3 linked regions of the Lepisosteus oculatus genome follow. The protein of the gene in region 2 purifies or fractionates together with the protein of the main gene of each other region. This does not show direct contact. Links are inferred from orthologs where the notes say so. Each region holds a gene or a part of one and is shown on either strand. Other genes may lie near its edges.

Region 1 (6,952 bases), on a different chromosome or scaffold from region 2:
CACGGAGACTCACAGCACTTTCACTTTTTTCCTCGACGTCGACGAATTTATTTGGCTCCCGAGATTTAAGAAGTGCGGCTCAGTCTATCTGTCGTACGCACGGGTGCAACGAAACGCTTATTGGCATGTATGCGCCGATACAAAGACAATCACCAGAAACACAAACACAGAACAGCAGCAGCAGCAACAACAACGAGTTGAATAAAAAACAGAAGTCAGACAAGCAGTATGAGAAAAAACTCCATCAGTGTGCGCCGGTGGTAGGGGTAGAGTTCAGTAATCTGACAGCTAGCGGGAAGAAACCGCCTCTGAATCGGGGCGTTCGTGCTTTCGTGCTCCTGTTACTCTTCCAAGAGGGAAGGGAGGAGAGAAACCAGGGTGACTGGTATCCCTAGCGCTTCATGAGAGACTGGGCTGCAGTTCCTCTTTAACTACAGGAAGAGACTTCCTCCAGCACGTCCGGTCCCCCACCAGTACTGAGCACAGCCTGGGAACGTGCGCTATCCAGTCCAAAGGCAGGCTGACGTGTCGTGGACGTGACACCATCACCTGATGTGGCAAGGGAGCCCCAGCCCAGGGGAGTCGGGGTATCGGTCTGGCTGCCTGCGCTTCCTCCTCCAGCTCCAACGTCAGAAAGAAGTTTGGGAACATGACAGCGCTGCCGGGAGGCAGGCAGCTCTCCCTGGGAATTTCCTCCAGTCCGACTGAACGTGACAGCGGTGTGTTTACACTAACACGCCCTGGCTGGACTGGAACATGAGCTCATTCCTTAAGAACACCAGAGGGTGCATTCTGGGGCACCACTGACAAAAATAATCTGGGACACTTCCTCTTGTTCTCTCGTTACAGAATATCTGTGCCAGCGTAAACAGAGTGGCTCATACAGACACACTGGAAAATACTGCACTGAGAGAGAGGTTAATACTGACTGGACACTCCAGTACATTAACACTGCACTGAGAGAGAGAGGGGTTAATACAGACACACCGACTGGACACTCCAGTACATTAACACTGCACTGAGAGAGAGAGAGGGGTTAATACAGACACACTGACTGGACACTCCAGTACATTAACACTGCACTGAGAGAGAGGAGTTAATGCACACACACTGACTGGACACTCCAGTACATTAACACTGCACCGAGAGAGAGGGGTTAATGCACACACACTGACTGGACACTCCAGTACATTAACACTGCACTGAGAGAGAGGGGTTAATGCACACACACTGACTGGACACTCCAGTACATTAACACTGCACTGAGAGAGAGGGGTTAATACAGACACACTGACTGGACACTCCAGGACATGAACACTGCACTGAGAGAGAGAGGGGTTAATACAGACACACCGACTGGACACTCCAGTACATTAACACTGCACTGAGAGAGAGAGGGGTTCATACAGACACACCGACTGGACACTCCAGTACATTAACACTGCACTGAGGGAGAGGGGTTCATACAGACACACTGACTGGACACTCCAGTACATTAACACTGCACTGAGAGAGAGAGGGGTTAATACAGACACACTGACTGGACACTGCAGTGTTAAGAGACTACTTAACACACACTGCCCAGGGTGAACAGACCACAGCATACTGCAACACCTGTGAGCCCAATGTGCACGCGTGCGGGGTAGTTACCTGGCCCAGGTGGTTCTGTGTGTCCAGGTACTGGGTCCAGGCTGGGTCCAGAGACACCACGCTCAGCAGGTACTGCAGGAAGGCCCAGTGCTCGTGGATCAGCGCCAGGTGTAGAGCACTGACAGAGGAGGGAGAAGAGGTAACCGAGTTCGCACTAGCCGACTGGACACGAAGGCCACTAACACTGGACGCCACCTCACACGTGCGAGCCATCATCCTCGCCCCTGGGAAACCGCAGCAGGGCGAGCGGGTGACCCCCGAGAACCCCCACACCTCAACAAAGGTCCCTAAAACACGGTCACTACCCGCAGGCGCGTTTTACCCCACATTTCAGCTCAAGGCAGAGCACGGAGTCAGATCCCCAGCAGGAGGGAGACTCGAACGGCTTTTAAAAACGATTTATGCGGCGAAGGTGCGCCACTCACGTGTCCCCGTCCTCCGAGACGAAAGTCAGCGTGTTGAACAGCTCCTCCGTCATCAGCAGCTCCTGGGCTCGGCCGCCGGGACCGCCGGGTCCCCCTCCAGCATCGCCCAGACCGAGCGTGCCGATCCCCTCGGAGAGACTGCCCAGGAGCTCGTCCGTGATGGAGTCCCCCAGCGCCGAGTCCAACCTGTCTCCACCCAGAGACACACAGGTGTCGGATGTCTGGGGGTCCGGGCAGGTGGGCCCACCAGAGTCCTGCGGGTCCCGGGCCGGCCCCAGGCTGGTGCTGGCTGGTGCCGTCTTCCAGGCGCCCATCGGGTCGGGTTCGGAACCCAGCGTGGAGCAGCTGAACGAATCCAGCCCGCTGTCGCACCAGTCCTCCGCCTCGACATCCAGCCCCACGGGCTTGCCGCCGAAGCCGACCCCACACTGTGGGCGCTGTGCACGGGCCTTGCCCGACCCGGGCGGCCGGGGTTCGGGTTGTTGCTGCTGCAGGTCAGCCATTAGGGAGAATAAAACGGGTTGCGAGGGGAAAGAGGCGAGAGCCTGGCAGGGGAGCTAGCGTGACAGATCGCCTTTTAAGGTTTCGTGCAGCTCGGAACCGCGGATCGGTGAGAGTGCTTTTTCTAGCTGCCCCCTTCGTTGGGCTCGGTCTTCATGTTTCGGGGGTTCAGCGGTCCCCCTTGCGCAGAAAATCCGTTGTTTTCAGTTTCTCTTTGAACCAGATTGCTCGCTCTCGAGTCTGGAAAATTACTGTTTTTCTTTCTGAATCTGGGGGAATCCCCAACCCCTCTGCCGACCAATCACGGCGCACGCAGGACACGCCTACCCGCTCGAGAGGAAGTTTACAGTAAAACCGAGCGCGGTGACGTCATTTCCCACGCACGCTGCGCCGAAGCCCACGGACTCGACAGGCTTTCCTGACAAGCACGCAATGGCAAACACTTTTAAAAATGTACTTTTGATGAGAAAAAAAAGTTACATTTTTAGGATAATCCTTTATAAAGTTTAAGGAAAAGACGTGAGCGATGACGAGATTGATTGTGTATAGTTCATAATAAAGGCAGGCAAACATCATATGATTACTTATATAAATATGGCCGGTTTATTCTGTCTAATTTCCGATATAAAAAGCACTTGTCCTTTCTATTGCCGGGAAGCAAAGTTTTGGATTTGTTTCTTCTTGTGCATGAAGTTAGGAAGAGATCCGTAAATAAAGTAACGCGTTCTTTCAAATCGCCCGCCTACAGACTGAAGAACTGTGTGTTCTCCGTGACATACAGAACATACCCTGTATACCTGATTGGGTGAGACTATTTACAGCAACTGACGGATCTGAAAGAGACTCTACAGTGACGAGCAGAACCACAACAGCAAGACGACTTTAAATGAAAGCGCCCACAGTTGTTGTGTGGTTCAGCACTGAGCCAGACGTGCGGAGACACTCGAGACTCCCCAGTCCACTGAACTTTGCACTTACGATAGCACAAAGCAAATTAAATGAAAACATCGAGAAGCTGTCTTTGTATGTTTAAAATCTCCCGTTTCTCAAAGCAGACACCACGTACCACTGTGGTTCGACAATGGGTGAAGAACATCTCTTCCCTTTCCCCTTGCTTCATTTTGTGCTATTAAACGAGGCTATTAAACAGGAAAAAACAACACTGTAATCTGTCGGATGTCAGACAAGGTCAGAAAGGTACAACAGCTCAGCCAGGGTGGTATTTTCAAAGAAACAGCTTCCTTTCAAACTGACCCGATTTTCTGTGGTTTTCATTAAAGTTTGAAATGAAGGATAAAGGGACCCAGATTAATTCATCTTTGCACAGCAGGCCTAAATACTGGGAAAAAAAAACAGGGAACATGCAGGACTACAGGACCCTAATGACTGGGTTAGCGAATGGATGCCCGTTTAAATATACAGTAACATCCATCTTCCCCAAGGGGGCTGTAGCCTATCCCAGCAAGCAATAGGCACACCTAGGACACACCCAGGACAGAACACACACCAGGGCCAAGCCATGAGCAAAGGAGACCACGCAAACTCCACACAGATAGTACCCCAGGTCCAGAATTGAACCCGGGGCCCCAGCGCTGTGTGGCACCAATGCTAGCTGCCTTACGTCCCCAATGTCAGCGTTTTAAATGTTATTTCTGCGTGAATCACAAAATACTCTAGTACTGCTCCCGGGAACATTGATGTCCTATAGCGTTCGGCCGTCAGGTTCATCGCGGCCGTGCCCTCTGCCTCACTGTGAGCCCGGACCTTGATCGGTTCCTTCATTGGCTCTGTCTGCAGACCGAGCCCTGACAGTTCAAGTTAGTTTACGGATCTTCCACTGGGAAAACACATCTCCGTCTTAACCAGTGGCCCCTCTCTGCATCACCCTACAACATCAATTGTAATGCCTTCATGAAACCGAGCCTCCCTAGAGGAGTGGTTATCATTACTGCCTCACAGGTCAGCTCCTGGGGTGCTGTATGTGTGGAGTTTGCGTGGGGCTTTCTCTCACAGTCCAGAAAAGTACTGGCAGGTTATTTGGCCTCTGGGAAGAGCTGCCCTGGTGTGTGTGTGTGTGTGTGTGTGTGTGTGTGTGTGTGTGTGTGTGTGTGTGTGTGTGTGTGGGTCCTGTGATGGACTGGTGTCCAGCCCGGCGTGTATCCCGCCTTGTGCCCCTTGTTCACTGGGATGGGTCCTGTCTCTCCGTGACCCTGTGTTGGATAAAGGGATTAGAACAGGGATGGCTGGAATTGCAACAGAGTATCTATTTTCTGTCCGTAATACTCTTACACACAACGTATTATTGTTTTTTTAACGTATAAGGCAGCATTATGGAGGAGTGGTAAAGGATGTGGGTTCGAATCCGAAGTGAGACGCTGGTGTTGGAGTGTGACGAACCCACGGCACCTGAACTGTAGCAGTAAAATACCCAGAGGCAAGAGCCAGACCAACTGAAACCAACAAGCTTACAGTACGATACGAGAGGATTCGTGTGATACGAAATGCTTATGTGCAAAAACATATCATAATGACACCCTGGTGTACACTAATTCGCGTTATATGTAAAGAAACTCAATATGATCTGTGGGCAGTCTTACGCTTAAACTACTGCAGCACACGGCTTAGAAAACACAAAATATATATATATATAAAGTAAAAACGAACACTGGGGAGTCCTGTCGTGCAACCCCAATTCTCCAATTGTATTACAGTTGTATTACAGTTAGAATTTTCTCAATCTGTCCGCTGGGTGGCGCCCAAGCTTCAGAAATCCGTCCCCGAGCCGATTCTCTTTGTTCGCGGAGACGAGGCGCGACCGGGCTCTGCCGACGGGCTCGCTCAGCTCCGCGCCGGTTCCCGTCCAACCCCGCCGCCGGTCCCAGGCGCGTCTGCAGAAACCGGCAGCACCTGCTACGAGTTCTCAACAGGCCACGTTTTCTGCAAGTCGTAATTGTGCCGGGGGTGTTCACCACCCGCAGCACGCAGATCCGCCCTCAAACCCGCGGTCACAGAGCTAACGCGCCGGGTTCCAGATGGACGTAACCGCAGGAACACCGGGTTTGTGGCAGCACGCAGTGCGGGGTGTGTCCAGGCGGGGGCGCTGTGCACCGTGCCCAGGCAACAGCCCCGGCACCCTCGCTGCTCTCAGCCGGTTTTATTTATCCCTGTTTTCTGAAGGGTATTAACTTATAACCTTGGCTTTAAAATGACTTAAGACACGGATTCAATCACACACAGCATAAACCGAAATCACAGTAATTCTATTGCCCTGTACCAGGTCTTCGTTTTAAATCTGGGTTAGAAAAAAAAGGCGAATTTAAGCAAATCCTTGAATACAAGGTCTGCACCTTCCTCTCGCGGTCTGCGTCAGCCTGGGGGGACGTGTGCTTTTTTGAACGGACGGTGTTTTTTAGAACGCGATTAAGAGGTCACAGCAGGAAAAAATCAACCTAGTGACTGTGTGTACCGGGGAATGTGTGAATGTAATGTGGGGAGTGTGTGTGTGTGTGGGGGGGGTGTCGTCGCTATGACAACAGCAGTGGTGTCTCCTTGGTGACAAGCGGAGACGGGGGGGGGGGACGAGGGGTGGAGTTTAATTCTGTGCTTTACAAGCGGAAATCAAAGGGCGCATTATCACGTGGTGACGTCATACTGGGTTCTGCCGTTCTAAGAATATTCCTCTGGCCAATGGCCGTTAACGAATGGACTCGTGCCCTCCGCGGTGAAGACTGGTATTAGAGCATTAGAATATTATCTCCCGGTGGAGGATGTGTAATACGGATTGCTCCATGAGCTGTACATCCGCTTCCGAAGTGGACTAACACTCATTTGCCCCAGAAAGCGTTTTTTTTCTGGTGCGTTTGCTCATTTCAGATGTGAATGAAGGGGGGTGATCACTCACGCCTGAAACATGAACTCAGGTTAAGGAGGAGGCCCGGCGCAGCCTGGCCGCCAAACCCAGATTCTCCTGGACCCAAGATTCTGCTCTTTAATCTTCGCCGCCTGCCCTGTCTTTCTCACACCTGAAGAAGGCTCCACAGCCCAAACGTTGTGTGTCCTTTCTCCCCTTTCCAGCCTGGAATAAACCCACTACCTGTTCCTTCTCCATCAGCGCTGTGTTTTGCGCCACTGCCTGCCTTCGCTGTCGAAGTGCTGTGCGGGTGTTTCCTGCTGATTACATGACACAGGTGTAACACTCCTTAAAGGACCTTGACATGGTGGTAAGATACAGACCCTGGTCAGATTCAGCCCTGTTCCTCTGAATAACACGCCAATCTCTATCCCGCTCACTCACGTAAGTCCTAGCCGTATGAAAACGAGCTCTTGCAGTCGTGAGCAGGACATCTGAAGTTTAATTACAATGCTGCGTTACACAC
Region 2 (7,218 bases):
TGTGTGAAAAATCCATGATGAGACCACCATGTAAAGAGATTTGCTACAGACACTGCTAAGCTGGCTGCAAGGGTGTGTAATGAGAACGAGTGTGTCTATATCCTCCGACTTCAACGAGTCACACCTTAATGGTCAATTGGGATTTGAAAGTCCCACCAATAAAAAAATGTGCATGAACCATGAACGCTGCATATAGACTTGTGGCCTGGGCATTGCCTGTAAATGATACTGTACAACAATGAAACCTTTTTTGAGCAAAGTAAGCATTTCTATAATACATAAGCATTTCTTTTTGCACCAAAGCGAGAATTCTGGCCATTTACACAACTCACAAAACCCTGCTGATTAAGGGTGAACCTTAATCTTTATCTTGTTCTGGTCACTATAAAATTGAATCTCATCAATTGTTGAAGTATTGTTAAACAATGAGCTCACTGACATGAGGACAGTTCAAGAATAGCTGTTCCTGTTATAACCAGCACATCTCCTACATTTGATCTCAGAAGAGGGATTAGGGATTGTATTATTTCTCCTCTTCTTTATTTACTAGCAAACAAACACTCCCCCATTTCTATTCTCTAATTCCACATAAAAAACATACAGAATACACATTTACATGTTGGTTAAGTTGTCAAATGTGGATTCTCTTCATCTGAATCAGAATTATCATGAGTGACCTTTCTCACTAGATACCCCCAAAACATACAAGAGCTCAATACATTTTTAATTAATTCACAGAGATGTTATTACTAATGAATCTGCAACAGGTTTAAATGTTTTAAATTATACCACTGGATGATTAATTTAATTAAATAAAATTAATTAAAACCACCTTAAAGAACCCTGAAAGCATATGTACTGTACCTTAATACCCAGACAGGGTAAGGTATAAGGTATGTCCCTCTGATGTTTATAGATTCCCCATCAGAAAAGCCAGGCATTATTGGTATGTAAACATACAAAATTCACAGTTGTAAAGAAGGCAATAGTTTGCTAGTGAGACAAGGAATAAAGGAAGAGGTTGTAATTTCCAAACACAGAGCTTTAACAATGTGATAGACTTAAAAGGGACCACCTGTTACAAGTAATGAATGTATTTTCAGGGAATTCACATAATATAAAGACAATGCCTCTATCAAATAGGGCCCTATGTAGGAGTTAGTTACAGACCCCTACAATACATTGGCTAAGCTATCAACCTGCTTAATTCTGACCTACTGTATCTAATGGAGATCTTGCCACGTGGAACTCAGATGCCGAAGATAATCTCATATTATGTTTGTGTGGAACATAAACATTACAGATCTTCATAGGCTCTTCATATTATAGGCTATGATGTATATAGTGTATGGTGTAGGCTATGGTGTATATAGAAAAATATATTCACACTACATTTAAAAAAGAGAAAGATAAAGATGATTTGACCTCACCGATGCGATACCAATATAAAGGAGTCTATTAAAGACACCATCCATAGAATAAAAAGGTGAAAAAAATTAAAAAGGCTCACTTTGATCCTTGAGATGTGCAATTTTTTTAAAGATACACAAGGTTTGAAAAAGTAAATTTTTATTGCTGCATTGTTGATCCTGACATCTGTCCACTTTTGTGCATTTCCAGCTTTCCAATCATGTATTCAATACCTCTAAGAGTTAACTGTTTCTAGACAAGTGTTTCCTCATGTTCTCCTCTTTGTAATGAAGAATTCTTTTTGTGGAACAAAGACACTGCGAAACACAGTTTCTAGTGTATTGAGGTTAAAGGAGGCTTTGTAGTACAGAACCCAACCAAACTATAAATTAGCGGCCTTGTGTTAATTGTTTTTACAGGCCTGAGAAACGTTAAAAGACGTCTTGATGAAACATTGAAAGGACCGTAAGAGACCCACCAAGATCACCTTTCAGATGACAAGCACACCGGAGAGATGAGCACACCCTTCACCCCTCCAACACACCTTCTGTAAAGCACATCACTTGGAGACAGTGTGTCCTTATTCTTTTCCTAAAACCTGCCAAAGGCCACGTCTGTTGGATTGTATTTATAACTACATGAATAAATCTTAAAGACAGGAAAACTGGAAGGTTGATGGAAAAGGCAAATCAAACTCCAGTTTACAGTTAAAAAATGTAGCCTTGGTAAAATAAATTAATGTGTGCTGTTGTGTCGGAATCCCAGTCCCAGCAAAGTTAGCAGCACAGGAAATACGAGACTGAGGCTCAACTCCTACATGTCTCTCTCCACCGGACACTGTAGAGCGCGACCGTCCCTAGCGACAGTGTGCCGCTGAGCCGTCACAGTAGCCCAGGCTTACGCTGAGGTTGTCCAGACATGAGGGGGCAAACTGCAGGGCTGTCAGCATTTCAAATACACACCATTGCAGTCAGAACAGAGTCGAAACCGTAGGACCCGTGACATACAATATTAACACAACCGACCTTGACGTGTGCATTGCATGCAGTCTACTGTATTTACCTCTGTACATAATTTTCTTGTTTTCTAAATAGAACGAATTTCAACAAAAGTGTTTTTTAAACAATTTCAAGTCGAAATTAACGGCACAGATAGCAAGCTTCTTGACTTCTTATTCATTTTTTGGAGCAACAGTATCAATTTATTATCCGGAGGTCGGGCTGAGCTCCCAAATCTGCAGCTCTCGCATTAATAAGAATGAAATGGTGTGATATCGCAGTGCACAGGCTAGACGCGACATGCATGAATTTGAATATATCTTACCTCTTCTGGTTATTCGGGAGCACCTGGTTGTTTACTGTATCGTTTCAGGAGCAGAGAGATGTTACTGTTCTCCTCCAAGTTTCCACAACCACTATCAATATCCTCACAGAGAACGCAAATCCATAGTTAAAGACAAACTAAAAGACACTGCGGTTTTCCCCCTATGAAATCTTCTATATTGTTCAAGTAGATTAAAGGCAGGTTTTTCAGGGCAGCCCGCTACTTCTGTGTTACACATCAACACTCTGCTTGTGTGCAACTCCGGCAGGCGGAAAGTCCCGGACAGAGAGGGGAATTCCGCACAGTCCGCTGTCACGTCTCCGGGCCGCTCATTGGCTGGCCGCGGAAAAAGTCGGGTTTGCATATACAGTAGATCCCTCCCTAAATTTGCGCTACCAGAAAGTGAGCAAATAAAACGCTGAGTTGAGAAGAGTACATCATGTACACGTCTTTTGACATGTTTGAAGAGTTTAGTGTACTGTCGGGAGTAACGTTTCACAATTCAACTTCTAGATTTCCAACAGGTTTTACTGTGCCGCAAATAATGTATCTCTTGCTGTGGGAGACAGTTTGTAGTTTGTAGTTCGTCCTTTAAACATTTCCTAACACAACAGCATTGCCCCCCGAGGGAGCAAGAAGGAAACCCCCCTAGTTATTTTTTGTTATCATTGTCATGGCTGAAAACAATAATTTTGTGTTTCAGGAACTTAAAAAAAGATGTATGCTGTATGGATATTCCAACACGGAACACCATCTGACAATATTGACCCAAGTTTGTTAAGATGAAAAGCTGTAGTAATATCTGTTTTGGCTGTATGTGTAATAATGTGGCCACAAGCATTACTAGAATGGTTCATACCTGAGTCACCAGCAAGTACTTTGTCAGCATCAGTTGTTTCATTAGGCCAAAGGGATTTTCCTCATTGCTCAGATATTTAATGTGTATGTGAGATTATCAAGTAGGATTGGGTTTACAATAAAGTCATTTGATTTGTGTCTCTCACAGGACTTTTCACTTATAATCATATAATCAAATTCTTTGCTCCTATGGACACCAGTCCCAACAGTGATATCCAGAAGAAGCATTGAATGAAGAATTGTCCTCTTCAATTCTCTTCAGTCCTCTGGAAAGTATTCGCTATCAGGGACAAAAGTAATAAGAGCCAGAGTTATTTGGAAAGTGTGAATGTGTCACTGCTTTTGTTTGTGAAAAAGTCACTCTCAAGACTCATATGCTACTAACAACAGATTAGTACCTATTAGGTTCAAAACTGGTTGAAATGTTGTATTAATATTTTTACTTTCTTTCTAACACATCATAACCCAGGGAGTCAACTATGAAATTTATCTCATTAACTGAGTCACATCTTTCCAGGACTTGTTGGTTCTCACTAGCCTTTCTCAGTTTGGGTTAGGAAGCCGGCAGTCCTGCAGGGCTCAGAAGGGTTTAGGGGATTTTCTGACTTGTGTGTGAAGAAATTACTGCGCACAAGATGGAGCTGTTGTTCCTCTTAATGCCAGAAAATGTTGTATTAGTGATTTCATTCATCATAAACATAATATGTACAGAAGTGCCACTTTTATATCACTTCCAGAAATAGAGCATTGTTGCTAGTGACACAGTCTTTGTCATGATTGGCATCCGTCCTCTTAAAGGGCGCTCCGACCCTTTCGTATTTTAGTTGATTATGTGCACCTGCCTCTTGTTCTGTCCCACTATTTAAGCCTGTCAGCAGTTCAGGGGACACTGCAGTGTGACAGAGGCCAAAGGTGTTACGCCACGACCCTGGAGGAATCAGCATTCCACCTCACATTCCAGCACAATTCCCAATTAGCCCTTTTCCCTAGCCTATTTAATGCTGCCTCACACTCTTCCCGGTGCTCAGTATTAGGGTTTTCCTGGCTAGAGCTACTCCCAGTCTCATTGTTATTTACTACTTGGTTTTTAGTTTCCTGACCCTGGTTTTTTCTCCGTCTACATCTCCTGGTTTCGGTTCTGGTACTTTTGCTCTCGTTCTGGTTTTGGCTCTTGGCTTACTCATGGTTTACTGCTCCACCTCTGGTTATTTGTACGTTTGCACCGGCTAGTTTACCTACGGCTTTCAGACCCCAGATTATTCTTTCAACTACGCCTTTTGGAGTTTGCCCTGGTTTTCTGCATAGGGTCCTCACTACTAATTCCTAACAAAAGGGCTTTGCTTGGAACTGCCACAGCCCCCCCTAGGGAGAATTAAGGCTTTAGCCTGTCTTCCAGTGTCATAGTCATTTCTGAGGTCCAGGGAACTGAACCCATGTGAGCCTGCATTGTGGTCCTTGGCCTCATAGATCCTAAGGGAGTAGATAGGCATCTGTTCTGGTGACTTGTTCTTGGTTGTCCACGCAGAAACAAAATGATCCATCTTTTTCTTCATCAGCACCAAATTAATGAGCCCAGATCCAGCACTGGACATGCTCTGGAGTTCCTCTCCTGTGGCCTGCTACTTGGCCAACTCTGAGTATCAGGGGGCAGGTGGACGGGGGTGTCACCATCTCAGTACGGTGCTGCTCCAAGCTGGTGTGTGTACAGTCTTTATCCCGTGTCCCAGAAAGCCCACAGAAGCTCTTTCAGCTGCTGCTGCATTGGGTGGAGGCCCCACTGGCTTCTTTACCACAGATCTGGGATGACCCTCTCGGTGGCTGTGGACCCTCCATGGGTGAGGAACATTCTTGCTTCACTGCAGGCCTATACATGGGCATGTAACTTGTGTTTTCAAGCCCATAGAGGTGTTCTGTCCCCCCTTCACACTTGTGTTTTCTTGGGAGTGTTATGGGAGCCCCCCATGGTGGTCCTCCACCAGTCGCCTGTGCAGAGACCTGGACTAGCCTGCCACTCAGGTGTTGCAGGTTCAGCCCACACTCTCACTTCTTTAGGGAGTGGATCTGGTCTGCTGAGACCAGCTGCCTCGGCCATATCAATTCTCAATCCTGCCGGTTGGAGAAAGTCCCAAGAGACCTAGACTAGCACCAGAACCAGAATTAGCCTGGTGCAGCCTCCTACACAGGCAGCACCTTCTGCCCAGCATGGCTTTCATGCAGCTCATCTCTGAACTCTTCCAGACTGAAGTGTCCTTTGCCCCCACAGTACCAAAGCTATGCATCAGAGTCGACAGGGGAACGGTGGTGCCAGTAACGACCAAGGCCTCCTGCACACCTACAGCCACACATGAACTGCGGCACCCTCACCCACTCAAGGGCTCATTCGTGTGGGACAGCTCTCCTCCTTTACAGCTGGCCTGTTCCCCTTTCCTGAGTCACTTCTCTGCCACAGAAGCACTCCGCTATGTACCCCTGCTGTCCGCAATCAAGGCAGCATGTGCCTCCCTCTCCATCGGTCTACACCCTCCACCTCCATTGGGTGGTTGTTTCAGGGGCTGCTCTGCATCCACCACCCTGCCACCCCACACTGCTTCTTTTACCACACAGTTTGTGCTAGAATAGCCTCTGTCCTCTATGCTAGTTCAGTGTCTGTATCTAACATGTAGGCAACAAAGTCTAGACCAGACTGATTCACAATTTAAATGATTTGACTTCTAATATGGAGTCTGAAGTAAAAAAAATATATTTGATAAAAGATTAAGTTTTGATTCACACATCAATAATATTACAAAGGAACAAGTAATAGGTTTATTCCATGCTGAAAAGAGAAGAAAGAAAACACAATGTTTCAGCTGTGGAGCCTTCTTTGGGTGACACCAGAAACATTGTGTTTTCTTTCTTCTCTTTTCAGCATAGAATAAACCTATTACTTGTTCCTTTGCAGCCTACGCATACTGCCCCCATGAAATAATATTACAAGGCAGTCCTTGGCTCACCTAAGAAATCTTGCTAACATAAGCTTCTTTGCTTGCTGAGGCTGAGTAACTAGTTCATGATTTTGTTCCAACTACTATAACATTCTATTTTCTGATCTCACTAACAAGGTTCTGTTTTGACTGCCACTTTTGCCAAATGCAGCCTCGAGAGTCCTCACAGAGACAAAACTAAGACCTCATGTCACTTCTGTACTGGCTCGGTGTAACCTAGTAGTGATTCAAAGTGATTAAAAGATGACCTTGCATCTGTAAAAAGTGGTTTATGTTTAAAATGCTTCTTTTGTTAGCAATATGTCCTTGTAATTCTGGCATAATTACAAGGATATAATGCATAGACTGCAAGCAACTATAATTTTTTTTTTATTATTTACAAAGGCAAGAGTGGAAAGTTATATGGTTGCTGGATGAGGAGAGCTGCTAGAATTGTAACTTCTGTTATCTGGCTATAAAGAGAGCTCAGCCAAGGGAAACTGACAGAGAAAGAAAAAGAGAGAGAAACCGTTTCTTCCTCTCATGCCATTGTGCCTGATGGCCCAATGATTGCTTCACCTCTGTAACCTGCAATTTTCTTTTCCCAATCTCCTGAAGAGGGGTAACCTCGCCCATTCACCATTCACTCATTCACTAGACTTCA
Region 3 (7,528 bases), on a different chromosome or scaffold from region 2:
CGTATTATTATATACACTACTGTGGAAAAGGCTTGGACACAATCAGGTGTTACAGTATATGAAGGTGATGTGCATCAGCAAGTTACTCAAAACCTCCACTGGTATTTGGTACAATGATAAAAATTTAGTTATTAATACAGCTTAGATTGAGTGAGAGAAAAAACAAGCTTGTCATGTAGTCATTGGTCATTCACATGAATGAAAAACACTTCAGAACATTTGTATCATCATACTCAAACTAAACCAATCATGAGCAGCATATAAGAACATTTAAAAAGACCACAAACACGAAGTGGACCATCTAATCCCCATGGATGGTAGAGGCAAATCCATAGATATCATTCAGACATTTCTTGAAAAAATAAATGGTATCGGCTTCAACAAAATGGCTAAGTAGCTTATTGCTGACAGCCAGAACTCTGTGTAAAACGTGCCCTCTGTTCCCAGTTTTAAATGTACCTTCTTGCAAATTACACTTGTGTGCTGGGGTTCGTGTCTCGGTGTTGATTCTGAAGAGTTTACAATGCCAACGTCTCTGAGGCATTTGAATACTTGAATTATATATAAAATATGTGAAGTGTTTACCCATTTACGTTTACCAGTCAAATAAATTCTGGCCGGGTGTGGCTTGTTATTCACATAGTGTGTTCCTCTCTACACATCCATCGTGCTCAAAGGCAACATTTCGCTCTACAGCACTGAGATCTGATAGGACTTAAAGCCAAGTGGCTACAATTCCGAAGGCAGAGAATAACCGGTGTTGTGCTTCAGCGGAAAGAAAGGAAAACCCTGAGTGGTAAGAGCTGAACAATGGAAAGTGTCTAAGTCTGCCGCACAGCTGAGTCTGTCAGACCGTTCCTAGTGCTACACCGAGTCGGCAGTGAACCAGGACCAGTATGGACCCAGAAACAACAGGGCTGTGTCCCTTGTTCCCTGTAGAACACTGCCCACTACAAAACATCAGCTCACAAACAGCTTTCGTTCTGCTCTTTTACTTGCTTGCTTTGTATTGTGCATCACTGATGCCACTTGATCTTGCGCTGCATTTATACTGCACTTCACTGACGTAGTATGCTGTCCACCGTGCTGGATATGAACTGTTATAAGGAAGAGTGCCTTTTTTTAAACCAAAACCGTTAGTAACTGAGGAGCCACTGGAAGAGTAATGTTGTGCAATGCTCATTTACTATCGCAAAGGTTTTATTTTGACGTGTCACCGTGAGCAGAGACGGGCAGTCTCCCCTGAAAAGAGAGAAAAATAACGATCAATTAGGAAAGTCAGACTTGAAATCGGATCGTAGGTCGAGGTGCGCCCCCTGCTGACCATTCTGTGAACGGCCTTCACGGAAGAACCCCACGGCCTACTACGCGTTCGTTATCCCGAACCGCAGGTAGGATTGGTCTGGTCAGGGCATTGATCGCATGTTCATTCCAAGCATGTCCCAACATTCCCAGCTGAGCCAGGCTTGTTACTAGGTGACGACGATAGGTATTGATGTGGCAAGCAGACATTCAAAAACCTCCTTGGCCTTCTAATGTTAACCCCTTATTATGACTTTATAGACTAGCATACCCCCTTACAGGCAACTTCCAAAACCGAACAGCTAGCTGGGTCTTTTACCAGAAAGACAGTACAAAGTTTTTTAGTCACTTCTTTACCACCCTCATTTGTTTTTGTTAATATTAACCAAATACAACAATAATAATAATAATAATAATAATAATAATAATAATAATAATTGCTTGCACTTATACATCAATTTAATCAATTTCCCTTTGGGATCAATTAAGTCTTATCTATCCACATGAGGGGGCGGGGCAGAGGCACTGTGGTTAAGGCTCTGCACCTGTGGCTGGAAGGTTCCCGGTTCGTATCCTGTGGCTGGCAGAGGAGTCCTACTCCGTTGGGCCCCTGAGCAAAGCCCTTAACCCCACCTGCTCCAGGGGCGCTGAACAATGGCTGACCCTGTGCTCTGACCCCCAGCTTCTCTCCCTGCCTGTGTGTCTCATGGAGAGCAGGCTGGGGTCTGCGAAAAGACAAATTCCTAATGCAAGAAATTGTATCTGGCCAATAAAGTTTTCTTATCACATATAGTCCTTTTTCTGGACACTCCACTCAAAGCGCTTTACAGGTAATGGGGATCCCCTCCACACCCACTAGTGTGCAGTCCCACCTCGATGATGCAACTGTAGCCATAGTGCACCAGAACACTCCCCACACACCAGCTACCAGTGGGGTGGAGAAAAGAGAGATGAAGCCAGTTCATAGATGGGGATTATTAGGAGGCCATGATTGGTAAAGGCCAGGGGGAAATTTGACCAGGACACCAGGGTAACACCCCTATTCTTTTTGAGAAATGCCCTGGAATTTTTAATTACCAGAGGGAGTCAGGACCACGGTTTTACATCTCATTCCAAAGGATGGCGCCTTTTTTTAGAGATTGAAGATTGAATCTTCTTCTGATACAAGATTGAAGAATTCCATCATCTTATTCTGCACTGCTCTTTGGAACAGAAGCTTTGTCTTGCAGAATTGTTTACACTGGTGCAATACACTGGCTTGGGGTTATACTACAGCCTGTTGAAATAAGAAATGACGCAAAATACTCTGTACGGGGCACAGAGTGTAGCCAATATTACTGAGGAGATTCAATTACACTGTCCTGGAGAGAGGGACAATGAAAATTATTAAAGCCGCAAAAGAACAAATAAACATGTTCTTGATAAAAACGTTCATTTTAACCTAAAGTTCCCTCTTAATTCAATTGCCGAAGCAGATTTTCAGCACGCCCTAGCCGATCTGCTGCGCAGTTGGGCTGCAGGTGCAGACTGCTGCGAGTTACGTCAGAGCTCTGCGCCGCTCTGGGATGACGAGCGCTGCAGGAATATAAACTTTCCAGCAGAGGGCAGTCTAACCCCGAATTGGGAAGACGCTGAACTATTCTCCCTTTCCTTCTCATACCTTGTGTATCTCAAAATGTGTTTTGTCCAGAATATACAGGTACATCATTAAGAGCTGATTAAATTTAAAACTGAGGGTGACATATACGCACACAAAATTAAACTTCTCCGCGGGCAAATTGTTAACCAGTGAATTTGGGCCGTTGATTCTAGCGAGGGTGCAGGACAATGTGTGCGTGAGGGAGTATATCAGCTACTTCAGTTTCGGGAACCACGACGAAAGCTTTCCAGCACATTGGAGGTGTCTTAGTAATACATTAACACTTGGAACCTCTCTATAGAAATTTCCAGAGTCTCTTTCGAAAATCCACAGGGCATGTCTGTAGAAACCGTCAAGTTATTTTTGTAAGGATAAAGTAATCTGTCTGTACTTGAGAGGTGTCCAGGGAGAACTTACTACGGCTTTCACTAGTTGCCCAGATATTAACCTCATAGGTTGCAAGTTGCAGAGATTTCTACTTTAGCTGAAGCACAAGAACAGTTGCAACCAAGAGGCCATTCAGCCCATACAAACTGATTGGTAGTTTGTAGCTAATTGATCCAAGGATCTCCTCCAGTCATTGTGTGATGGAAACAAGGGTCAACGTGACTGGGTAGCTTGTTCCCAGCTCCCACAACCCTGTGCGTAAAGCAGTGCGCCCTGTCCTTAGTTTTAAATTAAACTTCCATGTCCTTTACACTTGTTCCTGCGGGGTCATTTGTCACAGTGAATTCCGAAGAACTCTGGTGGGTTGATTTTGTTTTTCAATGCCTTTGGAGGATTTCAAATCTGTTTCAGGTCCCCCCGCAGTCTCCCCTGTTCAAGACTAAAAGGATTCAGTTCCCTCACGTCAGTGTAGCTCAATGTAGTTCAAGACATCGCGGAGCAGCCATTACTTAAATCAGTCCTGTCACTGAAATAATTTCTGTGGTGCCCAGGCGAACGGTACAGGGTTCACTTCTAGCCAGGAGTGTGTTCTAAGTGGAGTTTGTTCTCTTGGTTTCATCGCACGGTCCAAAAGAAAGCCTGGATAGGCTGATTGGTGTCTCTTTATTTTGTCCTTTGTGTCTATGTGTGGGCCTTACAATACATTGTTATGCTGAAATGCTTTATACCAGTAGTCCTGCATAATGAGTTCTGTGGAACGTCTGAGGGTGTCATTCCAACAGAAACTCTCTTAGCTTCACCTTAGGATTTGTGAGAGATTTTAAAAGTAGGTGTCTATAGGCTCAAACCTATACAGCCGACGATATTTTGGTGTAATATACAGTATTTCAGTTATTTTCTAATATGACATCATGAGGCAGAGGATTTACACATTGGCCTTTTGCTGCTTCAGAAAGGAAATGCTGCCCAGATGCATGATTTTCACTACTGTACGTTTTACGCGAGGTAACAGAAAGAAAACCCGGTTTCACTGAGCAGATATTTCTCATTGTAGAGAGAAAATATCAAGTTAACATTCAACAGCCTGAGCCACAAACCCAGCTAGAAAACGACCTCCTGTTTAAAAAACAAACCACGAGAAATACTTTCGTTTTCTATCTGTCACATCCTCTTGTTAATGATGTAATGTGTATCGTTGAGACAAGACATTTTGTTGTCAGTGCTGTGCCCCTGGCCGAACCGGGAGAACTCCCGAGCCGTGCAAGCAACTCTTCCAGACAAAATACAGCGAAGATCTCGGGTGAGTTCGTGTCCATTTTTACTCGGTTCGGTATTTCAAAGGGTTGCAAGATAAAGCAAACTAATTTTTAGGACCAAAAAAATATATATTTTATACATAAAATGGCGGAGATGGCTGGAAAAGGGGAAGTAGGTACCGTACAGCAACATGAGACGTTTTTCTTCTTCTGAATCTCTCCGGATTTTAAAAGCCATCACGGACTTTTTCTGTTCCGAATATGGCGTGGTTTTGGAAAGTGTACCTTCTTGTACTTCGGGGAGTTTGGACAGGATCCAAAGAAAGGGCATTTCAACGTGATTAGCCGTATTTTGTAACTATATATGACAGAGATCTTTACCTGCCCCCCTTTCTGTCGGTAAACGGACGGAATCCGACACCCGCTTTGTGAAACTCGTGCTTCTCAGAACACATCGTCATTGTTTTAATAAATAAGATGGTTTGCTTTTTATAAATGTTTGTTTATGCAGTGTACCCTAAAACAATTATAAATACTTTCTGACGTAGTTACGCGCAATATAGCAATTAATTTTCAGAAAGACATTGATTCATTAACAACTATGTTAAAGTTAATGTGAGCCAGTTTACGATTGTTGACATTGCAAAACTCATTAAATGTAATGTTTAATATTTGAAGGTTTACGATTTTGCTGTTTTGATTAGGTTATACTTATGTTGCGTTGAACCTTAAATGTTATTGCCTAAACAAACAGCTTGTTGTCGTTTTCTGTTATTTGTATGATGTTATTTCTGTACACAAACTGTTTAAGAAGTTAGAGGGCAAGCGTATATACTGTACAGTAGTAACAATGTATCTCTGAGAAGTGCGTTTTAATGCATTATATTTTGGAATATCTAAATGTAAAGGGTACTCATTTAGACTAATAATAATTTATATTTGTCTATATTTTATTTGTAGCTTGTACAATACCAATACATTTATTAGAACACTTATCGATACTATTTATTAAAGACGTAGTGTATAATTTGTTATTGTATTAGTGTTCAATTTTTTTGCAAACTCGTCTCATTTTGAAGGAATTAAAAGGCTAAAGGAACGTTGCAGGCACCACTAGTCTTGTGATTTTTCTGAAATGCTGTCCAGGTAGCTGATTCACACGTTGGACAGCAGGGTGAGGTAAAACAGTTCAGTGCTAAAGGTTTTGTCAGTGAGCTTTTGCAAAGTCCACTGCGATTTATAATTAGTGCCCGTGTGTTCACTGAGTATATCTACACACTGACTTAATTAAAGATCAATCTGTAATGGTACCTGTTTTGTAACTATCCAGTATTTACGTGTGTACTCAAAGCAATATCATACGCAGCAGATGCAGCAAATGAAATTTGAAGTGCTTAAGATACAATTCAAGACTTGGCAAACACCTGGCAGATGATATTTATTGTAGACGAGTGCAGGATTGTGTAGGTAAAGTAAGTAAAAACAAACTATAAATACTACAACAAAAATCACTGAGCTAAAAAAAGTGATCTTATGAGAAAGGTTTTGGTGTTTGTATTGAAACATTGTTTCTACTAGACAAGGGGTCTCAAACTCAGTCCCTAGAGGGCCTGATGTCTCTTTTACACAGTTGGTCTAATTATTTAATTAACTACACAGTTAATTAAATAGACCAACTACACATTTCTAACCAGGGTCTCCAGTGATTTATAGGTAACTGTACCTTTAAAGAAGTGATCCACTTCAGTGGTTTCATGATCCAAACATCCCACATTCTTCTGGGTCTGACTGATATACAGTACAGTATATACATATATACTATATATACATATGGGTGGATACTACACGTTGTTGTTTGTAATTATAATAATTACTTACACTTATATAGCGCTGTTTCAGGATACTCCACTCAAAGCGCTTTACAGGTAATGGGGACTCCCCTCCACCACCACCAGTGTGCAGCCCCACCTGGATGATGCGACGGCAGCCATAGTGCGCCAGAACGCTCAGCACACATCAGCTATCAGTGGGGAGGAGAGCAGAGTAATGTAGCCAATTCATAGATGGGGATTATTAGGAGGCCATGATTGGTAAGGGCCAATGGGAAATTTGGCCAGGACACCGGGGTAACACCCCTACACTTTTCGAGAAACACCCTGGGATTTTTAATGACCACAGAGAGCCAGGACCTCGGTTTTACGTCTCATCCGAAGGACGGCGCCTGTTTACAGTATAGTGTCCCCGTCACTATACTGGGGCATTAGGACCCACATGGACCACAGGGTGAGCGCCGCCTGCTGGCCCCACTAACACCTCTTCCAGCAGCAGCCTTAGTTTTTCCCAGGGAGTCTCCCATCCAGGTACTGATCAGGCTCACACCTGATTCAGTGGGTTGCCAGTTGTGAGTTGCAGGGTGATATGGCTGCTGGCTGTATATGAATATTACAATTCATGATGCCTGCAGCTTGCCGGTCTTTATGAAGGGTGTGCTGCAGAGTTTTGAACTCCAGTCATTAACCAGGCCCTTGCCCTTGAAGTATTCCAGTCATGCCTGTGGAAATCTGATGAATCCTACCAGGGACTGAAATTGGCACACACTCCAACACAGTTTGGGGGTGGTTAGAATAACACAGCCTCATAGAAATGCAGCCCAGGGTTCTCTTTACACAAATGCAAAGAATGCTGTACATTTGAGTAGGCGTGGATGAGTCACTTGTGAGTGCAGCTTAGCATTCCATTTAATGAAGGAGAGCTAAGTGCAGTTCTTTTCAACACTGCACTTTAGGGGAAGCTCATTTCTTAGTCTTACACGATAGCTCTGTTCATTCTGCTGTTCCACAATGGGATGAAAAATGTTGCCATGTAATTGCATTTTTTCCTGGTAATGTTATCCTAACATCCTCCACTACAGTGTTAAAATGCTTGGTTGTCTAACATCGAGATA

What was found.
Region 1: the proteins of nfkb2 (region 2) and nfkbib purify together in Homo sapiens (affinity purification with mass spectrometry; 4 studies listed by BioGRID and IntAct, counting the BioPlex papers as one, with this or other methods). This does not show direct contact. The link is inferred for Lepisosteus oculatus from reciprocal best matches to the Homo sapiens genes NFKB2 and NFKBIB.
Region 3: the proteins of nfkb2 (region 2) and map3k14a purify together in Homo sapiens (affinity purification with mass spectrometry; 6 studies listed by BioGRID and IntAct, with this or other methods). This does not show direct contact. The link is inferred for Lepisosteus oculatus from reciprocal best matches to the Homo sapiens genes NFKB2 and MAP3K14.

The regions. Positions count from the first base shown.
Region 1 is NC_090698.1:6,487,368-6,494,319, forward strand, and holds the start of nfkbib (NF-kappa-B inhibitor beta), read right to left. Parts: upstream 3,012-6,952; 5' UTR 2,579-3,011; coding exon 2,076-2,578; intron 1,769-2,075; coding exon 1,651-1,768; intron 1-1,650. UniProt on the Homo sapiens protein: Inhibits NF-kappa-B by complexing with and trapping it in the cytoplasm.
Region 2 is NC_090699.1:46,557,166-46,564,383, reverse strand, and holds the start of nfkb2 (nuclear factor NF-kappa-B p100 subunit), read right to left. Parts: upstream 3,007-7,218; 5' UTR 2,734-3,006; intron 1-2,733. UniProt on the Homo sapiens protein: NF-kappa-B is a pleiotropic transcription factor present in almost all cell types and is the endpoint of a series of signal transduction events that are initiated by a vast array of stimuli related to many biological processes such as inflammation, immunity, differentiation, cell growth, tumorigenesis and apoptosis.
Region 3 is NC_090723.1:3,723,838-3,731,365, reverse strand, and holds the start of map3k14a (mitogen-activated protein kinase kinase kinase 14), read left to right. Parts: upstream 1-4,517; 5' UTR 4,518-4,628; intron 4,629-7,528.